Drosophila melanogaster: one gene and its partners. The protein of the gene in region 1 interacts with the protein of each later gene in a pairwise test. Each region holds a gene or a part of one and is shown in the gene's direction. Other genes may lie near its edges.

Evidence for each region.
Region 2: the proteins of Sesn (region 1) and l(2)k10201 interact in a two-hybrid assay, tested with the Drosophila melanogaster proteins (one large-scale study listed by BioGRID).
Region 3: the proteins of Sesn (region 1) and tna interact in a two-hybrid assay, tested with the Drosophila melanogaster proteins (one large-scale study listed by BioGRID).
Region 4: the proteins of Sesn (region 1) and Flo1 interact in a two-hybrid assay, tested with the Drosophila melanogaster proteins (one large-scale study listed by BioGRID).

The regions. Positions count from the first base shown.
Region 1 is NT_033778.4:23,711,665-23,717,172, forward strand, and holds the start of Sesn (sestrin), read left to right. Parts: upstream 1-2,235; 5' UTR 2,236-2,454; intron 2,455-3,001; exon of another isoform or gene 3,002-3,016; 5' UTR 3,017-3,235; intron 3,236-5,508. UniProt on the Drosophila melanogaster protein: Functions as a negative feedback regulator of mTOR function.
Region 2 is NT_033778.4:9,397,027-9,400,834, forward strand, and holds l(2)k10201 (lethal (2) k10201), read left to right. Parts: upstream 1-2,053; 5' UTR 2,054-2,062; coding exon 2,063-2,728; 3' UTR 2,729-2,820; coding exon of another isoform or gene 2,821-2,842; 3' UTR 2,843-2,873; downstream 2,874-3,808. Other genes in the region: Non1 (putative nucleolar protein 1), read right to left, coding at 1-1,088, 1,158-1,432, 1,558-1,605; CG33774 (uncharacterized protein), read right to left, coding at 2,821-2,842, 2,922-3,022. UniProt on the Drosophila melanogaster protein: Vital for development.
Region 3 is NT_037436.4:10,833,544-10,838,751, forward strand, and holds the start of tna (tonalli), read left to right. Parts: upstream 1-1,984; coding exon 1,985-2,202; intron 2,203-5,208.
Region 4 is NT_033778.4:15,565,530-15,571,514, reverse strand, and holds Flo1 (flotillin 1), read left to right. Parts: upstream 1-2,110; 5' UTR 2,111-2,344; coding exon 2,345-2,396; exon of another isoform or gene 2,397-2,555; intron 2,556-2,688; coding exon 2,689-2,764; intron 2,765-3,008; coding exon 3,009-3,363; intron 3,364-3,674; coding exon 3,675-3,686; intron 3,687-3,801; coding exon 3,802-4,272; intron 4,273-4,342; coding exon 4,343-4,486; intron 4,487-4,547; coding exon 4,548-4,712; intron 4,713-4,923; coding exon 4,924-4,941; 3' UTR 4,942-5,244; downstream 5,245-5,985. Other genes in the region: Cdk5 (Cyclin-dependent kinase 5), read left to right, coding at 213-380, 445-632, 793-1,157, 1,220-1,383; CG30466 (uncharacterized protein), read right to left, coding at 1,977-2,000. UniProt on the Drosophila melanogaster protein: May act as a scaffolding protein within caveolar membranes, functionally participating in formation of caveolae or caveolae-like vesicles.

The DNA.
Region 1 (5,508 bases):
AAAAGGTTTATACAATTGTAAATAATAAAACATACTGATAGTCGTGCGTAATGTGGCAAGTCATGCATATTGACTAATTTAAGTGATCTGTGCTTTTTTCTTGGGGCCCGTACCAAAATAAGTTTAAGCATATGTTTTCATGTTTGTCGCCCCATATTTGTGGGTCAATCGCGTCCGAAGAGTTGGCTATCTCCGCATGAACTATAGAACTAAATCGGTCACTCCTTATCGGTCGCGTCGCCTTAGTCGACAGATGTACCCATGTGTGTAGACAAACCAACATACGTACAGCCTCAGCTACTTTCTGTGCGAGTGAGACAATTGTTTATTAATCAATAATAACAATAATCTACGCCACGCACACCGACACAACGTGTGTATTTCGGTATCGGCGCTGTTATCACTATCAGCCCGCTGCTGCTGTGGCTCCCATTGCTGATAAGCGACTTCCCCCACTCCGCCGCTGTAATGCAAATCAACAGCATTCGGCCTATGATAGTGATAGTGGCGAGCGGCGAGCAGTACTTTGCACTCGAGTGCTTATTAATTTCTCTTGCCAGCAGCGCACTCATTGCCTTTGCATTTTATTGTCTCACGATCTGGCTATAAAATGAAAATGGGGACGGGTACTTTATTTATCGCCGCCACTTATTGCAGTTCGTATGATACTCGCTCTATGGGCGGAAGAAACGGAGGCGGGGCAGTTCAGAGGCTCTCGAGCCGGAAAAAGTCTCTGTAGGGTAAACAAGGCGGGTTCCATGGCTCTGCGAAGTCTTTCTGCCGAGCTTCAGGTACAGTGGAGGTTCTACTGTGTGAAAGTGTAGTTAATACCTAAGTTCGTAAAGTTGCTAGTGCCATTTTTGCTTGCAAAGCATGCTTTGTTGAAAACCATTTGATATCTTGCTAGAAGCTTTCAGTTTAGTGACTCTACATCCCTACATGCTGGCAGTTTCGAACAGTTTTGAGCTGTATTCCAGTGAGGATTAATCCCATTTGAGTTCGAAACTATCGCCTCTTGTGCTGATTATTGTGGACAGAGATATTGGATCACGACACAGAGGGCTGACTGTGGCCTCTTTGCTTTTGCTTTGAGCTTTGAACGCCCGCAAATGCTGACTATTTTGTTGGGCCCTAGCATGGTGATAGAATGTGGGAGGGGGAAAGGGGCGTGGCAAAGGGGGAGTAGGTTGGAGATAGGAGGGCTAGCGACTAAAAAGTGTTGATAACCGGGCACACATTTGCATCCACAAACACTGCGACGCACACACGCACACCCTGCTTTCTAGGCCTCTGCCATTTAAGTTCAATCATTTGGAGCGTCGTCGCTGCGTTGTCATTGTTGTTATTGTTGTTATTGTTGCTATTGTTGCTATTATTGTTATTGCTGCTGCTGTTTGTGTTGCTGTCGCTCCATGTGCTCCTCACATATGTTGAACTAAAAAGAATTGGAGGAGCAGAGAGGCAGGGCGAAGAAAAGAACTGTACATTTGTACGGGGTGTATTGGTTTAGTTGGGTACCCTACGCTACAGAAGAAAGTAGAAGGTTGAGAAGGAATATGTCTCCTACTTTTCGTGCGTTAGCACGCTTTTGTAACAAGTTTCAATAAATAGATTATAGAAACTATAAAAAGCAACAATTCGGATATGACAGTCTCTATATCTTGTTTTGTGTAGCGTATTCGGCATGCAGCTTAGCTCTCACCCTTGGCAACGGCAACAAAGTAGGTGCAACAAAGAGTCATAGCGACCGTCTCTCCTGCGCCTACAGAGCAACTCTCCCCACCCCCAGCCCCTCAGGAAAATGGTCAGACTGCTTCTGCCTCTGCCTGTTGCTGCTTTGCCTGCTCTTTCTGTCCCACACACTTGCTCTCTCGCTCGTTGCTCGTAATAAGCTTACACAGAAAACAAATAATTGAAATCTAAAGAAGTTCTCCTTTAAATTATTAAACGCAAAGGTATAATTAGATACAATGAAAATAAGTTTCTTGCATGCAGATCCTTTTAAGCTACGAAATCGCTGTTAAAGGCCATATAACTAGCATTGCATTAGTTGGTGATTTAAGTGCTTGACTTTTCGCGCAGTGTGGCGCACTCTCTTCGGCTCTCCGCCCCCGTCAGCTGTTGTTGTTGCACTGTGGGGCTTTGGGGCTGCGATACCAGCTGTTTCGTTTCGTATCGTTTCGTTGCGATTCGTTTCATTTCGTTTCGCCGCGATTCGATTCGAGTCGAGCTGCTTCAGTTGAAGTTTGTCGCTGGCCGCGTTCAGTTGTCCGGCTAGAAAAGCGGAAGACCGGGAAATCCAGACGCGCTACAGACGCCCGATATCTGCTCCCACTCTCAGCGCAAGATCGCGGGAAATCAGGAAGCTCCGAAAACATCGGATAACCGTTTTTATTTTTATTCCCCTTTGGTTCGTTCTCGCCTCCGTTTCTTCTGTTGCTTCTGTTACTTCTGGTAATTTCCATTTCCCTCGGGGGGATACGCGCTCAAACGCAACTGCAGGCGGCGCAAAACAAGAAATGTAGATAGCGCCAAAAATTAAAAAAATAAGAAAAATAGAGAAAAATAAAAAAGCGAAAATCATTGTTATTGCATGGAAAATTACTACAGAAATCTCCTGCAAAGCAGCCCAGTCAGAGTGGCACTAAAGCAAACCAAACCAAATCAAACCCAAAACTGAGACAACAACAAGGCGGCGGAGCATAAATTAGATTGGCCTCATAGTCGAATAATAACGAGCTCGAGCCGCGTAAACAAATTAAACGATGCTGACCGCCGTTGTTGTTCAAATTTAAATATAAACTATTATTGTTATCTCTGCGCTTGCCGTTGTCTATTTTCGCGCCAAATGCAATCGGTTCTTCGGTTTTTTCGGGGTATTAGGGGAGAGGGCATTACATAATTAGTGAGCGCGTAAATTAAATTATAAACGAAAACGGACGAAAATCGAGTACCAACTTTCTTCGTTTCCTCTGATCAAAACAATACATTTTATCCACAGTTTTCGTGTCTTAAGTTTCGGAGCCCTTCGCCGATTTCCAGCAATTAGTTACTACATCATATATGTTCTGTGTTATCAAAAACGCGAGCGAAAGAAGCGCTCTATCTGCGATTGTAAAGACAAACACCACAAGAAAGTAGCTGTGTGCCCCTCGGGCAAATGAACCGAAATTAAAGGAGATTACAAACATCGCTATCAAGCAAATGTAGAGACTGTTAGTCCGGCGAACAAAGGGTAAGTAAGAAAGGTTCCATCTATACAGTACTCCAGTTTTCCCCAATACATTTGCAAATGTCCTTTGAGGCCAGGACTGTTACTAAGAGGCTTTTCCGATGAAATGGAATGTTCCTTAGGGATTGTCGTAATGGAAAAAAACCCAAGGCACTGCAAGAAACAAAATGCACTTTAGAATTGGTTAAAATATATCCTTAAGCTGGTATTCCCCTAACATAGGTTGCCACTCGCATTTATCTGCAGTGCCCCACTTAATGTCTTCATACATAAATAACTGGCTATTTTTGAATATTTGAATTCTCTATTGAATCTATAGAGAAACCATTCCCTTCCCCAGTGCACAACTCTCGACTGGAGTAGAAGCTCATGCTATTGGGTTTGCAGCATCGCTTCCCACAAAATCCTCACAAATCTTTGGCAGATTGCACATGTGAAACCTGCGGTTGTTGGCCAATTCCGGCTGTTTTCCCATTTTTTGGCCAGTGCCAGGGACTTTGCGGATTGACGGGCTGTCAAGTCAGCGCAACAGGTTCCTGGGCCAAGATGCGTATACAGAAAACAGAATCGAATGGAAGACACACTGATTCAATTCGTTCAGTATTGGATTTGCTGCTGCCACACAACTTCAAGTTGAGGAAATTGGCACTTGACCTACCGCACGGGAATCTAAATTAGGCGGCGTGTTCGCTTGCCGAGCGTTTCGCCCTCTCTTTCCGCCCCACTGCGAAGGCGAAGCCTCGCACGCGGTTTTTGGTAAACTGCTGAGGGCATTTGTTCACTTTGCTGGCTGCGTTTGTTTACGGTTTCCATTACCCGCTTCTCGCGGCTTCAGCTTTTTCCAGTTCTATTTCGAGTTGGCCATCCACTAATTAGGCAGCTTGTCGGGCAGCATTCGAGTTAAATGTTCGGCACTGCAAATGACATGGTCCTTGCGGCCATACACACGATACTATCCATTGTTACACTCGTACAATACATGCGGTGAAACAATCAAGTACGCCGACATGGGCGTAATTCGCAGACAAACAAGAAGAACGAAAACGAACTGAGCCTGCGAATTAAGGCCCCTGCTCGGCAATGAATTCTCTTCGCCATGCCAGGCCATCGGCCATCCCGGCGTATACGTAATGCTACGGGCCGAAAAGAATTGAGGAATGGCTGGCAGTTAATGCCAATTATGATAAACGGTTGCTATGTAGCCGTCGCACACAGATACTCTACACACTGGCGCGCGCCACACAGATACTCACGCAGATACAGATACTCATGCACTCGCACTCGCACAACTGTTGCTCGCGATGTTGTTGATGTCTTTTAGTTGTTGCCAGGCGCATTAAGATTGCCGCTTGTGCTTGTGTGTGTGTTTATGTGTGTTGAGTGATTGGGTGTACGAGTGTGTGATGGGAAATCACTTGAACCATCGGCTGAGAGGGCAATTGATATGTGCTTCCATCAATGTTGCAATCAGTTAAGCGGCTTTCGAGCGCCAGAAACAACTGAATCGGTCTGTAAACTCAATCGAATTCGTCCTTTTGCGACAAAAACAACAGTCATGGTCCTTCCAATGACCTGCGGCCACTACCATTATTAATTCGATCAGCTGTACGCTTCGCAGATTCCAGTAATTCGATAAAAGTTTATTTAAGCACTTATTTGAACAGATTCAAATAAGTAAATTGAAAGTTTAGTACATTATTTCATGTTTAATGCGGATAGTTTAAAAGTTGTGTTGTTTGTTGTATCCGCGAATGCTGCTTTAATCATAGTCATTTCTATGGGCGCAAGACGAGGTGACTGAACTCGCAACAGCAACTGCAGCAGCCACTACAACTGCAGCAAGTGCAGCAGCAACACAATTGCAACTGCAGTCTGTTAAGCTTGCTTGCCGTTAATTTGTGCAATCTTCTACTTTTACCTACTTATTACAAGTAGTCACAAACAAAACTGAGTATTTTCCATGCCGTTTTCCCATGCTTCAGATTCAAGGGTATTTACGCATGTTCTTCAGCTAACTGCAAGCATAATCCAAGTGGGAAACTTTCTGACTTACCCATAATTGTAAAGACTTAATTAAAAGAGTTTCAATAACTAATCAAATGGATTTCCCTCACAGCGCACATAACTCACCATCCATATCAGTATATCAGTAGCCTAATAAATGGCGATTGGCCCGACTTAAGTCAAGTGAATATATAAAAAATCTAATCGCCAAATATTGTTTATGGTGGTCAAGTACGATTAGAAGTTCTTTGGAAAAGCCATAGCAACTGCCA
Region 2 (3,808 bases), about 14 Mb from region 1:
GCACCTTGTAGACGCCGCTCTCCTCCCGCAGTCCCTCCTCGCGCTCCAGCTCCTCCAGCTTGTCGAAGATGTCGGCATCGATGTAGTCGGCAATGTTGTGACCCTGCCAGAACTCTGGAATAATGTCGTAGCGCTCCTCCTCGGGGATTTCGCTGTAGTTCTTCTTGAGGTCCAGCGTGTAGTCGTCGCCCATCTCCTCCTCGATCTCCTTCTCCAGCTTGCGCTTGCGCTCTGCCTTGTCGGCATTCTGTAGCAGGCGCGCCGAGGCCTTTTCTGGGATGCAGGGTGCACGAAGTTTGTCATCTCGCGGCGCTGGCATCGCCACATGCAAGCGGTTCAGGATGTTGTCCACCTTCTTTGTGCGCATCTTCTGGTCAACACGGTACGAGAGCAAACGCTCACATGCCTCGGTTTTCACCTCCATGACACCGGTTTCCTGTACGGTGGACATGAGCATTACGGGAATGTTCTTGTCCTCCTGTAGTTTGGTGATAATCGCTCGTCGCTCCTCTGGCAGATCCTCTGGTGTTAGAATATCGATCTTGTTGATGGCCAGGATGAGGGGTTTGTTTGTAAACAAAGGCTTGATGCTCTCGAACAGCTTGACCTGTTCCTCCAAGGAGTGTCCGCACTGCTCGGAGATATCCATGAAGTACAGGACGCAGGCGCGCAAATGAGCCAAGGCAGTAATGGCTTGCATTTCGATCACATTGCGCTCTTCCAGGGGATGATCCAGGATGCCGGGTGTGTCAATGACCTGCCAGCGCAGATATTTGTAGTCTGTGTGTCCCACGTACAGGGATTTCGTGGTGAAGGCGTAGGGCTGCACTTCCACATCGGCGCGGGTGATCTTGTTGATGAACGAGGACTTGCCCACGTTGGGGAAACCGCAGATGATGATGGTACGCGAATAGGGATCGATGGTGGGCAGACGCGAGAGATGCTGACGCACTTGCTCCAGATACGTCAGATTGGAGGCCTGTCGCTTCATAATGGTGGCCATGCGACCCAGGGCAGCTTTCTTCAACTGTTTGCAGCGATACAGCGAGTCACCGTACTTCAGCAGGCGCACGTAGTCCTTGGCCACACTGCGGGATAAAAAATAGAATAGTTAATCGAACCTTGTTCGTTTGGGGATCTGTGACTTTGGCACTCACTTGTCCACCAAATGCCTGGCTGTGTTGAGTTGACCCAGCGCCAGCTTGTAATGATCCTTGTCGTACAGCACGTTCATCAAGTCGGCGTAGAAAGGATGCACGTCGTCCAGTTTGGGAAAGTCCTGAATGATCTGCGACAAGCGATCGTGGAAGTTCTGCTGCGTGTACTTCACCTTGCGCGTGTAGAATGCCCGGATTCTGGATATTTTGTAGCCCTTGTGGACCACCGTCGGGGTCTTGCGCTGTGTCTTCGACAGCATAATGTCGATGAAGTCCTGTGGAAAGGGCAAAAAATAAAATATTATTTACATATTGCGCATATTGGTAAACACCTCCAGTGAGGTTATGTCTTTGCTTCAAGGGGTGCTCCGCGGGACGGGCGCTGCTGGGTACACCTTACCTTTGCTGGCGGAACCACCATGATCTTTTTGAAGTTGTACAGACTCATCTTGGCAGGATTTGTTTATTTTCCACGCGTCGAAAGGAAAATAAATGCGGAATCGAAAGCAAAAACACCACGCGGTGTCAGCTTCGTATTCCAAAAAGAACCGGTTCTCGGGCGGAACCAGTTTAGGTTCACATGTGCTGCACGGCGATGCCAGCCCGCGTAACTAAGTCTGGCGATGTGGCATCATTTCAAAGGCATTTAAGATGTTTCAACTTAATTGCAGTTGTTTAATATAGAAATATATCCATCTAAAATATGAGCGAGTATTTCAATTCATTAATTATGTCTATTTTACGTATGCACTTCAAAAATTGTATTACTATTTCAATTCAAAAGGAAATTATTTTTAATTTTTATATAAATTAAACAAAATCACATCTTCCAAGAGGCAGTACAGTGGAAACATGTTGAAACTGGCGTAGGAACCAAAACAAAACATTTTGGCAACACAAACAAAATGGATTCGGAAGCTGCGGGAGTAGCACTTCTCTCCAGAGAGCAAATCATCAGGATACTAAGCGAAGTGCCAGCGGGATTCATAAAGCCCACGGATCCGCCTGCACCCAGTTTGGCGCCCTTCAAGAAACTCGGCGTTCTCGTGGACATCGATGACATCTTGGGCGAGCAGGATGCGGCGGCAGCTAGGATCAGGGACAACATAGATAAGGAGCAGAGCTACAGCTGCGTAGAATGCCGAAAAATGCTGCCCACTGCCCATCTACTGGATCTGCACATCACCGAACAGCACGATTGCTATTTTGCCGCCAGCGTGGAGCGCGGTGACAAGCCCATGTTTTCCTGCTTTCTGGAAGAGTGCACCATCAAGTTTCATACTGCCCGGCAGCGCAAGGATCACTGCATCATAACGCACAAGCTTCCGGCAAACTATCGCTTTGATCATAGCAAGAATAGGGGCAAACAGAAGCATCAAGGCAAAAGCAAACCCAATTCCATGGAGGTGGACGAGGTGATAGAGGAAACTAAAAGTTTGCCCTACGTCAAGGCCTTCAGCTTTGGACATCAAACGCAGAGGAGTTTCTACACAGGCAAAGATCAGAGATCTGGCAAAACACTGGACGATGTCCAGGCCATGAAGGAGGCCATTAACGACATCCTGGATTAGATTTGTACAACTACATATTTATTTTGCGAATGAAGCAGCATTATCATTATCCTGGTAGAACTATATTAGTCTGTTAGCGGAAACATCCTACATCATTTTGCCTTGGCACTGGGCCTGTAAATAAATGAAAATCGGTTTTATTGTTGATTCCGGGCTGTCTTCTTCCTCTTCTTCACCAAGTGGGATTACTTACTTTCCGGTATTGGCATTAATATAATGATAGGCAACCACCAGCAGGAACAGAAATACGCCCAGAACGTTGGAGAAAATGGCCAATTGCACGTCGGTGATCATTTTGCAGACAGTAACACGTTCTATGGATAAAAACAAACTAATTGATTAGAAACGAAGTGGGCGAGTGACACGTCATGGGTGCGGTGTGGAAATCGCGATTTCTGGCCTATTTCTGTATCCACCAAAATGCAACGCGGGATTATGCATCTCATTTGTCGATTAACTTCACCGATTGTTTCGTTTGCGTTCATTAACTTTAGTTTATTACCTTTTTCAGCGAAAAAACGAGCCGGTTTTTATTGTGTACAAATATTTCAGCGTGACCGTAGATCGACCACTAAAATATACCGATATACCTCGCGAACCATAAATAATACCAGATATACCAAACCGGATATTTAAAAAAAAAATCGTTTTCTTTTCTTTTTTTTCAATTTCAAAATGAACGTCATTTATAAAAAGTAAAAGGTTTCCACCATATTTTATTTTTATTTCAATAACTCCATAACATTTGAAATCCAAAACTCGTTATCACCTTTTTACTACAAATAACAAAACCATATTCTTAATTCTATTTTATTTTCATAAAAATATTCAGCGAACAATTGTAAATTCTCGCCAAAAATTATAAATTAACATATTTAACGGCCATCTTAGAAATATTTTAATTATCTTTCCGTATCCAAAGCTTAAAACTAGTTTACATAATACTTATTGCTTTCATATATTTTTTGCGCAGCTCTGTTTTAAAGGTCACTTGTTTTGTGGAAATTGTTGCGTCAGTTAAAAATATTTAGTATAGCTATCGTCATACACAGATCTCTCAATTGCTCTAGTTTAAATATT
Region 3 (5,208 bases), on another chromosome or scaffold:
TCGGCCTCATTCTGAATATTTTTTTCTAATGTTTGCTATCGTAGATGGAAAGGAATCTTCCCTCGATTCCACTTTGACCTGTCCTTGTCCGTTTCTTTCTCATTTATTTTGATTTCTTTTTTATACATTTTTTCCACTCATTTTTCCTTTGGCTTTGCCAAAAAGTTACCTTAATTTTCGAAGCTCTCCTTTTGGACCACTCCTTGCTGGAATTTCGGAGATTTCGTCCTTCGCTTTTTGTGCTGGCGCATAGAAAATGAAATGAAAATAAAATGATACTCATTAATTTGATAAATCGCGGACACAACAGAACTCGGCTTTGGTCCTCCTTGGGTTTTCTTTATGTACTTCCTTAGTCCTTTCCACCACTTCATCCTCTTAGTTGGTTTTCCTCGCTTTGCTTAATAATACCGAAAGATTTTATAAATGACCAAGCTGCAAATGGAAAAAGTTGACCTTTAGCGTAAATAGAAACACCATCAACCCACCACCGCCCCCGTTAAATGTTTCCGCTTTTGTGAGCGTTGATTTTGTTTTCCCCACCCCATCATCATCGTCATCTTTCGCATTTCTTCGTGAATTTTTAAGTAATTTCATCGTCCATTGTACACTTCAGAAATTTGTAAGCAAGACTTCTTCACCACTTGGGCATAGAAATATTCTGTCCAACATTACGCACTTGGTCAGCTATCTGCGCTCTTGCCCCTGCGTGTTTCCCTTATTTTCCTTGGATTTTTTTTCGGAGCTGCCAAGCTTTTATTAGCACACATTTAATAGGGTCACGCGTGTACTCCCACCCCGTGGTAGGTGTTTTTTTATTATTATTAATTTTCCAGCAAGTTACATGGGCACCAAGCCGAAAGCAAAACAAGGGCAGGACGAACAGGATGCGGGAGGAGCCAAGGAGCAAATCAACCGCCCACAAAACAGGACAAACACCAAGCAAACGAAATGCGAAAGGACACTTAACTGCGACGTACAACAAAAAATAGCGGTTCGTTGGGCGTTAGGAAATGAGGTCCTATGCCAAATGAGGTCACTTTTTCCACCTCTCACTTCTCAATTTTCCCAGCTAGACCGACGAACGACGAAAATATTTGAGGAATTACCCCAAAGTGTATTGCGAAGAAAGCGGAAAGTTAAGGTATATACTTATATTACTCTTTTAATAAAACTAGATCATTTAGAAAACTCGACGAGTTTAAAAATTCCCTTATTATTTGAATGAATTGAGTTACTATTGTGTTGCAAAGAATTTTCATAGAGATGGTCTATAATTTTCTAAGTATATCCCATACAAATGGGAATTTACATTGATGAAATACATTCATTGATATGAATTAAGAAGATATTTCGCAGTAATAGCAGATTGCAATATTTTTATTGAAAATTTTTCGAAAAGTATATTTTCAGCACTCTCAATAAATCGCACAGTAGGAATATTCCACTCATATGAGGATCACAGCACAAGGTCTAATGTACTTAAAACCCGACTTTAAGAGTTTATAGAAATACGCTGACAGTAGCTGCTGTTATTCGCCAGCTAACTGAGTCAACAAACCATTAAAGCAATCAGTTTGGGGATCGCATTGCATTACCAGGAATTTTTCATATATTACCGTGAAATGAAACTCGATCCCGGACGCACATGACGTATACGCAATATGCAAAAAGCTTCGCGTGGCCTTCAGAATGGGTGGTGAAGGCAATCGAGTGCCAGCCGTTGCTGTAAGACTGCAGCTGATGGCGCTGGTGATTAGTCCACCTATGGCTAAGATGTGCGCTGGCCAACTGTAATAACTACTGCCAGGCACTGGAGGCACTACTAATAAAAATTAATCGCAGAGGAAGTTGGACAAAGAACTAGACGGCAGTTGCCAAAGAGAGTTCGATGCGTTTGGAAGTGCGGTAAAAAAATCTCGGTTCGATTAGACGTGGTTTGTTCAACGTGGCGTATACGTAACGCAGATTGGCAAGTGGCGAAATGAGTGAAAAGGTGGAACAAGTGAAGGAGTCCAGAAAGGAGAAAGTCAAGGAGGAAATCACCAAAGATGATTCGACTTCCGTTTTAACGTTTGACCCACATCCCTATTTTCCATTCCTGTTCGATCCCTATTCGTCATCCAAATATGGCTCACAAGTGAGGGAAAGAAAAATCGATCGATGCTTGAAGCAGTTGCAGGATGCACTCAACGGAGGGAAGTATGTTATCCTTAGATATAATAGACTATATATATATCATAGATATCGAATTAGTATTTATAATTACAGTGTTAAGATAAGTCTTTCAGTTTTGAGACTTACAATAGTAACGGTACGACAATAATTTACCAAATCTATGGCCTCACACTACAACATAACAATCTTTTGCCAAGCGAATGACTTCATAAAGCAATCCCACCTTCTTTACCTACTACGTTCACCCTTAATCACCATCAATTATGTTCACTGTCAATTGGCAAATTGACAAACGATTGCAGTTGGATTTGTGTAAATAATTCAGAGCGAAGCACAATGCCAGCCGGGGCAAATTCGGCTCGTCCTCCGGCTGGCTGACTATTCATAAGGATCAAAGGCACACAGATGTACAGACATACACAGACATACACTGGCTGGCATTCCAGTTAACCCGAAAGTGAGTTGTCTTGCGGTTGTTGCTGTTGCTTGTCAAGGGGCATTAGCATTTCAGGACTGTAACTAATCACAAATGATAACATTTGCATGTGCAAACACAGACGCACGCACACACAGGCATACAAGGACGAAGGTGCGGGCCAGGCTATTTGCATACTTAAGTGTGCAGTTATTACCTTGTTATATCGATATAAATAACAACTGCGAAACGGACGAACACAGATTGCGCCTAATGAATCCTTGTTTGTTCTAATAAGTTTTTAATGCATTATTGATTTACACATTGACCGGACAAAAGTGGGACTTAGCAGCAGATTAAAATGGCCAGAAATCACCACAGCAATTGTAATGTTTAAATATTCAATGGGCTCGAGCGGAAAGTATTCAAACCCAATATATATATATATAACATATTCTTCAAAGCTCTTGATTAATCTTTCTTTCTTTCTCAATTGCTTGGCATAATAAATAAAAATTGCACATTCATAGAAAATACATAATATCAAGTATACGCCACGTAAACCGTTTGAACAAGACATATCCCTTGGCAGCAATCAAATCGAGGAGCACACAAAATGCATATGAAAACATTTAATTGTATTTGCATACAATTTTCCCATATCTACAGAGGCCAACACCCACTACGGTCAGAAATGAATATTTATTGCCAGCAAAAATTCAAATAAATTAAATAATGAAGATTGCATTTTAACGGGCAATTTTTGCATTTGGGATCAACACAACAAAAAAATATATAAAATTGAGAGAGGGTTCCTATCTCGATTTGTGATTGAATTGTCACATATCATATTTTGCTGATGACTTTTTTTCTATTTTCAGCTTTTTCTATAAATAAATAATAATATCAGAAATAATTTGTTGCACATTTCGTTTCGGTTTGCCAACCGCAAATACGAATCAATGGCACAAACATTCCGTTCGAGTTCTGTAATATTTTGTGAAACACAAAAAATAAAATGGCAACAAAATACATTTGCTAAAACTACTATAATAATAATTAAAACAAATAAAAATAGTTGCGGTGAGATAATTCACAGAATTTATGCGGAAAAGTCAAATATGATAATTGCAACTTTCCGTGGGAAACGGACAGTAGAAAATAAATAATGAGCTAAAAGTGGGAGTGGTGGTTGGTTGGTAAATGTGTGCCATATTTAAATAAAGCCAAAGCTGATTATAATTGAAATTTTGGTACGTCAAATGGCGCAAAAAATAAATCGAATAATTACAAAAATATTTACTGACATTTCATTCTGTAAAATGGGACAAATAAAAGTTAACTAGTTGAAAAATGTGCGGGAAGTGGTAGTTAAGTTAAAATACATTTGTTATTTGAAGAGCTGCAGTATTGCATAGTAATTATATTTAAAATTTATAATAATATTGCTCAGTTCAAGACTAACATTTTTTATATTTGTTTAGTTTCGTTAGCAGTAAAAGGTTAATATTTGTTCATTTGTATACAACAAAGTAGTTTGCAGTGCCTTAAAGAACTTAATTAAATTGTTCAGAACACAAAAGAGCCATAAATTGATTAAGGATTTTTACGACGGCCTTCGGGATGAATATCTCAAGAATTCCAGGCGATTTTCTAACTGAGTAAACAAACAAGATTTTCAATCTTAAGCTTGCTTCCTGTGCTCATCCCTCTGATTTTCCACTTTCCTCGGCTCGGATGCTGCAAAACTTTATTTCCATAAAGCGGCGAGCATAAAATTAATTTACTAATTGATGAGGCCCTGATCTCAATACGCAAAATACCCCGACGAATTATCATCATCGTCGACAATGCAAACAAGTTGAAATTCAATTACGCGAGCGACGGAGACGATGGAGGGCGAAGATTTGGAGGGAATGGGGCTCTTCGGAGGTGGAAACTGAGAAAAATAATCATAAGGCTGCGAGAAAACAAAGCGAAAAGCGAAGAAGCCAAAATGGAAAGGGAATTGTGAACTGAAGTGGGGCGGTGGATACGAGCTAAAGAGCAATAGCAAATATAAGTAAATAAATAAACCGAATAAACTGAAAATTTATTGAAGAAATACGCGAGCCGCACAAACAAAGGCAGCGTACAATGATGATGATGATGATCAATCGGTGGGGCTTTCAGGGGGGAGCATAAATAGGGGGGGGGAGGTGCCATATAGGCGACAATACGCAACCAAAATCGGCGACGATGCTGTCGATAAACCGACTTAAATCTCACACCCCGACGACAGCAATGGATGACGCCAATGAAAAAGCGACGACAAATGACGACTTCGACAATTAGAATCCAAGCGTTGCCCTGCTGCCCATAAACAGATACAAATGCAGAGAAAGAAAAATGTATCTCTTAATTACAAAAATCTCAAAAATGTAGAACAGGACTTTCCAGAGCAGTGATTACGAGCCTAAGATACATTTGTATCTTTATACATTTTTATATCACATTTTCAAGTAAAAACTTTTTTGCGTGTAAAAAGCCCAGATACGAAGTCAGATACAGCGACACTCCAAGGTTCCAAATGGGTCCATGTGCATCGAGTGATTTCACAACATTTAATAAATAAT
Region 4 (5,985 bases), 8.1 Mb from region 1:
CAACATTTTTAAAATGATATCTGTTAATTTTGAGTATTTTTGGTGACAGCAGACTGTCAGCTGCGATGTTGGTTAGTCACCGCGTGCTGTAAGCGAATAACAGTGTGCTGTTAGGCGCACGAATCCCTGGCCAGCAAAAACAAACTGCAAAAACAATAATCCCCGGAGTTTTCCATCTGAACGCAAAATAATACACACCAAAACACAGCAAAATGCAGAAGTACGATAAAATGGAGAAGATCGGGGAGGGCACCTACGGCACGGTGTTCAAGGGTCGCAACCGCGACACCATGGAAATAGTGGCCCTGAAACGGGTGCGACTGGACGAGGACGACGAGGGTGTGCCCAGTTCTGCCCTCCGGGAGATCTGCCTGCTGAAGGTCAGTCGGACGAGCAGGAAGTGATTCCAGTTTATAAACTAAATCGGCACATTACCATCCGTAGGAGCTGAAGCACAAGAACATTGTGCGCCTCATAGACGTCCTGCACTCGGACAAGAAACTCACCCTGGTCTTCGAGCACTGCGACCAGGACCTCAAGAAGTACTTTGACAGCCTCAACGGGGAGATCGACATGGCCGTCTGCAGGAGCTTTATGCTCCAACTGCTCCGCGGACTGGCATTCTGCCACAGGTATACCTATATATGTATCAGCACTGGATTAGGTCTTATCTTGTGTCGATTATAGTTAGAATCAAGTGTTATTTGGAGTAACTTCATCTGTGGCACATTTCCGAATGATATCCATTTTATAGCATTGAGACTTAACTTACGCTACATTATCCTATTTTAGCCATAATGTCCTGCATCGCGATCTGAAACCACAGAACCTGCTGATCAACAAAAACGGCGAGCTAAAGCTAGCTGACTTTGGTCTCGCTAGAGCCTTTGGCATTCCCGTGAAGTGCTACTCCGCAGAAGTGGTGACCCTGTGGTACCGACCACCCGATGTCCTATTTGGAGCCAAGCTCTATACGACCAGCATAGACATGTGGTCCGCTGGATGCATTTTGGCCGAACTGGCGGACGCTGGACGACCGCTGTTTCCTGGCTCTGACGTGCTCGATCAGCTGATGAAGATCTTCCGTGTGCTGGGCACCCCCAACGAGGACTCCTGGCCAGGAGTTTCGCACCTCTCCGACTACGTGGCGCTTCCATGTAGGGATTCTAGACGGATTTTATTTATCGATACCAATATTAAAAGCCTATTTATATTATAGCTTTTCCGGCCATCACCTCGTGGAGTCAGCTGGTACCTAGGCTAAACTCCAAGGGACGCGACCTGCTGCAAAAGCTGCTCATCTGCCGGCCAAATCAGCGAATTAGCGCGGAGGCGGCGATGCAGCATCCCTACTTTACGGACAGCAGCTCTTCGGGACATTGAGGTCGGAAGGTTCTTTCCAAGCCACTGTTTTCACGACCTTTGATTAGACTTAAGCCAAAATGCGAGACTTTGTCCAGCAAAGATCTTTTAATTATATATGTATGTCCTTGCAGTAGAGTTCGATTATAGTATAAGATAAAAAGTTCTTTATAATTTCATTAGTTTGATTTACCAAAGCAAAAGGTTTGATTTATGACAATCCCTACCAATGTGACACTTAATATAGCCATTTGAGCTGCCAAATTAACATTTATCGATAAAATACTTATTGATTCAGTAAAATAGTTTTATTCTTAAAAATTTTTATGTTGAGTGTATCGTTAAGATCCGAAAATTGTTCAAATTCCTAGACGATATCTACTGTTTGTGTGAATGTGGAAAAAATATTTGAAATCCTAGTTTCTGTTTTCAAAGACTAAAAACTAGGCAATACATCTGGTTTCCAAATTTAATGAGTGTCGACGATTTTCTTATTACATTTATTGTGTATTTTTAAGAATTTCGATCTTTCTGAATGATATGAGTCATTAAGTAAATTAGAATAAAAAAAATTGAGATGTAACCTAGATTTTTAAACCAATAAAGACACTTACCGCAGCACTACGTCGTCGCAGCATGATGAATATTTTGAAGTGGTCGCCTCAACCCCCGGCACTCAATAGGGGTTAAAGTCGTTCTGCGCACTCGCGAGTTAGAAATTGAGAACTTTACAGATTGAGAGATTTTTTTATTGTGCTACGAATTGCTAACCGAACCGGTCGGATTTCTGAATCTTAAGCACCGAGTACCTCGGAAATTCTTTTATATATATTATTAGACGAATAAACAAGGCTACCTGTGGATCGGATAATTCGCTATATAGTTAATAATCGGAAAACTGTGTTAACCGCGCAGATAAAACAAAAGCTGTTATCAGCAGCAACCCATTTTCTAATATAAATAACAAATAAGTGCTGCAGAAATGACTTGGGGATTTGTAACCTGCGGCCCCAACGAGGCTTTAGTTGTCTCTGGTAAATCACACGATCCTTATATGCTCAAAATAATGTCAAATCGATTAAATAAATAAGTCAGTGAATAAAAATGAAATTGTCACGCACACACACATATATATACACCCCACCCCAAGTGACGTCACTATCGATTTTTGTGTACCGCAAATGTTGTTGTTGGGATAACAGGGGAAGAAGCTGAATATGCGGCAGTCCGAAGCCATGCGTGCGCATTTGAACGGCGTTGCGGTGCTGTTATCCAAATGCTGCAATGTTTTGTAAACAAAGTGTTTTTTGTTTGTTTTCTGCGCAGGGTGCTGCTACATGAAGCCGCTTTTGGTGCCGGGAGGACGAGCATTCGTTTGGCCAGTGGGCCAGCAGGTTCAGCGGTGAGTTTTAACCGGCTTAGACCAGGGGTTCCAACGAAAAGCCACAGGTTAGGGAGGCGCTAAAAAGCGCGGGTATTCGAAATATTATTCGTAAGAATTCGGTTTTATTAAAATATATTAAATTATAATAAAATAATCTTATTTTATCAGATAATATTTAGTTAATATTTCTGGCTTCGTATCTGAGTCCCTAGTCTTAAGATAACAAGCCCTCAGATGTTAAATGTCCGCCAATCTTCCCCAGAATTTCGTTGAACACGATGACCCTCCAGGTAGAGAGTCCTTGCGTGTACACCAGCCAAGGAGTGCCCATCTCGGTGACAGGCATTGCACAGGTGAAGGTCCAGGGTCAGAACGAGGACATGCTGCTGACCGCCTGTGAGCAGTTCTTGGGCAAATCAGAGGCAGAGATCAACCACATCGCCTTGGTCACCCTGGAGGGGCATCAGCGTGCCATCATGGGTTCGATGACCGTGGAGGAGATCTACAAGGACCGCAAGAAGTTCAGCAAGCAGGTGTTTGAGGTGGCCTCCAGCGATTTGGCCAACATGGGAATAACCGTGGTTTCCTACACCATCAAGGATTTGCGCGATGAGGAGGTGCGTAGTTCCAACCGATTACTTTTTACCACTCTCCCCGCACAACTAACCCAATCATCAGCAGTGATGGGAATAGGTTCTGTATTTTATATATATATTAGTTTTGGTTTTGTATACTTGAACAAAAATTTATTTAGCAATTCTGCAGTGATTCTATATATATTCAAACTTATTTTCTATTTTAGATTTTCTTTTTTTTATTCGATTTTCCCATCACTGTGTACCGGCTTCAAAGCTCCCTTTTTTCAAATAACCTCTTGTATATATGTGAATATATATATTTCTTGCATGTCCACATGGATCCTCTGTAGGGCGACTCAAAGGTGCGTATGTCCGCCCAACCGCCTGTGCGTGGAATCGTTGGGACACGTCCATCAAATTCAGCTTCTTGTGTAACTATCGGGATACTAACTCCTCGCGTTCAATTTCCATTTTCAGGGCTACCTGAGGTCATTGGGTATGGCCCGCACGGCGGAGGTGAAGCGCGATGCCCGCATTGGCGAGGCTGAGGCCCGAGCGGAGGCCCACATTAAGGAGGCCATTGCCGAGGAGCAACGCATGGCCGCACGCTTCCTCAACGATACCGATATTGCCAAGGCCCAGCGCGACTTTGAGCTGAAGAAGGCAGCATACGATGTGGAAGTGCAGACCAAAAAGGCCGAGGCCGAGATGGCCTACGAGCTGCAAGCGGCCAAGACCAAGCAGCGCATCAAGGAGGAGCAGATGCAGGTGAAGGTGATCGAGCGCACGCAGGAGATTGCCGTCCAGGAGCAGGAGATCATGCGCCGCGAGCGAGAGCTGGAGGCCACCATCCGCCGACCGGCCGAGGCGGAGAAGTTCCGCATGGAGAAATTGGCCGAGGCCAACAAGCAGCGCGTGGTCATGGAAGCCGAGGCCGAGGCTGAATCGGTTAGATACCATCTAAATATTTGCTTATAGACTACGATTAACTGAAGCATCTCCATCTTCTTTGCAACAGATCAGGATTCGTGGTGAGGCTGAGGCCTTTGCCATTGCGGCCAAGGCTAAAGCAGAGGCCGAGCAGATGGCCATGAAGGCAGAGGCCTATCGTGAGTACCGTGAGGCTGCCATGGTGGAGATGCTCCTGGACACACTGCCAAAGGTTTGTCAATGGTTAGATTAAAAGAATCTATAATTTATTCTATGTTGAATCTAATTCGCAGGTTGCCGCCGAGGTGGCTGCTCCACTGTCACAGGCTAAGAAGATCACGATGGTGTCCAGCGGAACTGGCGATATCGGTGCTGCCAAGCTGACCGGCGAGGTTCTGTCGATCGTCAACAAAGTGCCAGAGCTGGTCAAGAACATAACCGGCGTGGACATTGCTCGGGTACGTTCCAATTCTGAATTTATCTAACTTCAGAGCTCGTCGAGGTGAATGAATGACGACGCAATCGAAACCAAAACAAATGGCAATCAAAAGACTTTGTAGACAGGAGGACGCTGCTTTCGTTTGCTACCTTCGTTTGATTTGAGCCTTGTTTTGCGATATAAATTCCCTGGTTTCGATTCACTTTACGTTTCCTTTCTCTTCATTTCAGTCTGTGCATGCTGGCTAAAAAAGTACCCAAAAGAAAACCAAAAACACACAAAATTATGTACTCTTCAAAACGAAAATAAGAAAACAAAAAAGAAATTACGCTATATTGAACGATCGAATACTTCAAAACTGAAATCGAACGCATTTAAATTTCTTTATAATTAATATATTATTGAATCTTTGTGCTAACCCGACAAATTTTGCAACATGTTTTACACACACACTCAGAGAGAGGAGCAAAAATATTTTGTATTACATGTATAATGTATTTATATAAGTGTATTGCACAAAGCGTGGAATAAATATTCTTCCTTGGATCAACAAATTGAGTTTATTTTAATGGGTCGGCAAATATAAAGGAAGTTGAAATTTTAAAATACCAAAGGTTTTGGCGGTTATTCCACATTGCCACACTTTTCAATTTCGCATATGCGCTGCCACCTTTTGATATAAATACGTTGGGCAACCAGCGTTGCCATGCCTTTTAATTAATCCATAAACGATACGTCTTCAGTTATTTTATAATGTTTTATTAATTTTAAATATATTATTATTAATGTATTAATCAGCCAATTGTTTCTGATGAAGCATTGAAGTTGGCTTCTCTCAGATAACTTCAGCTTTAGTGAAAGTTATGAAAAGGAATGGAATAAGAGAATTTGTAGGCATTTATATATAATAGCATTGTTATCACAAAATATATATTATATATTCAAGACGCAAAAAACAATCGATGCGATATAAGAAGTTGAATACATCGATAGTTTCGATAGGTTGATGTTGTACCATCACTAATAGCAGCTCTGTCCAGCTGTGCGGATAAAAAATCATAATCAGAATATCAGTATTATAACGCACATTACTCCCAAGAGTGTAATCTGAAAACCCACTTGAGTTAAGACAAATCCTAGAAAATAGAAAACCATAAATATTGTTTCCGCTCAACAAAACAAACACAAAGAAAACAATTGCGGCAGTGGGAAGGAAAAAAGTTCCGCCTTCAAAAGAGGAATCAAGTGGTAAAAACTGCATAAATAAGTCAAGCATAGCCGCAGAACTGTAG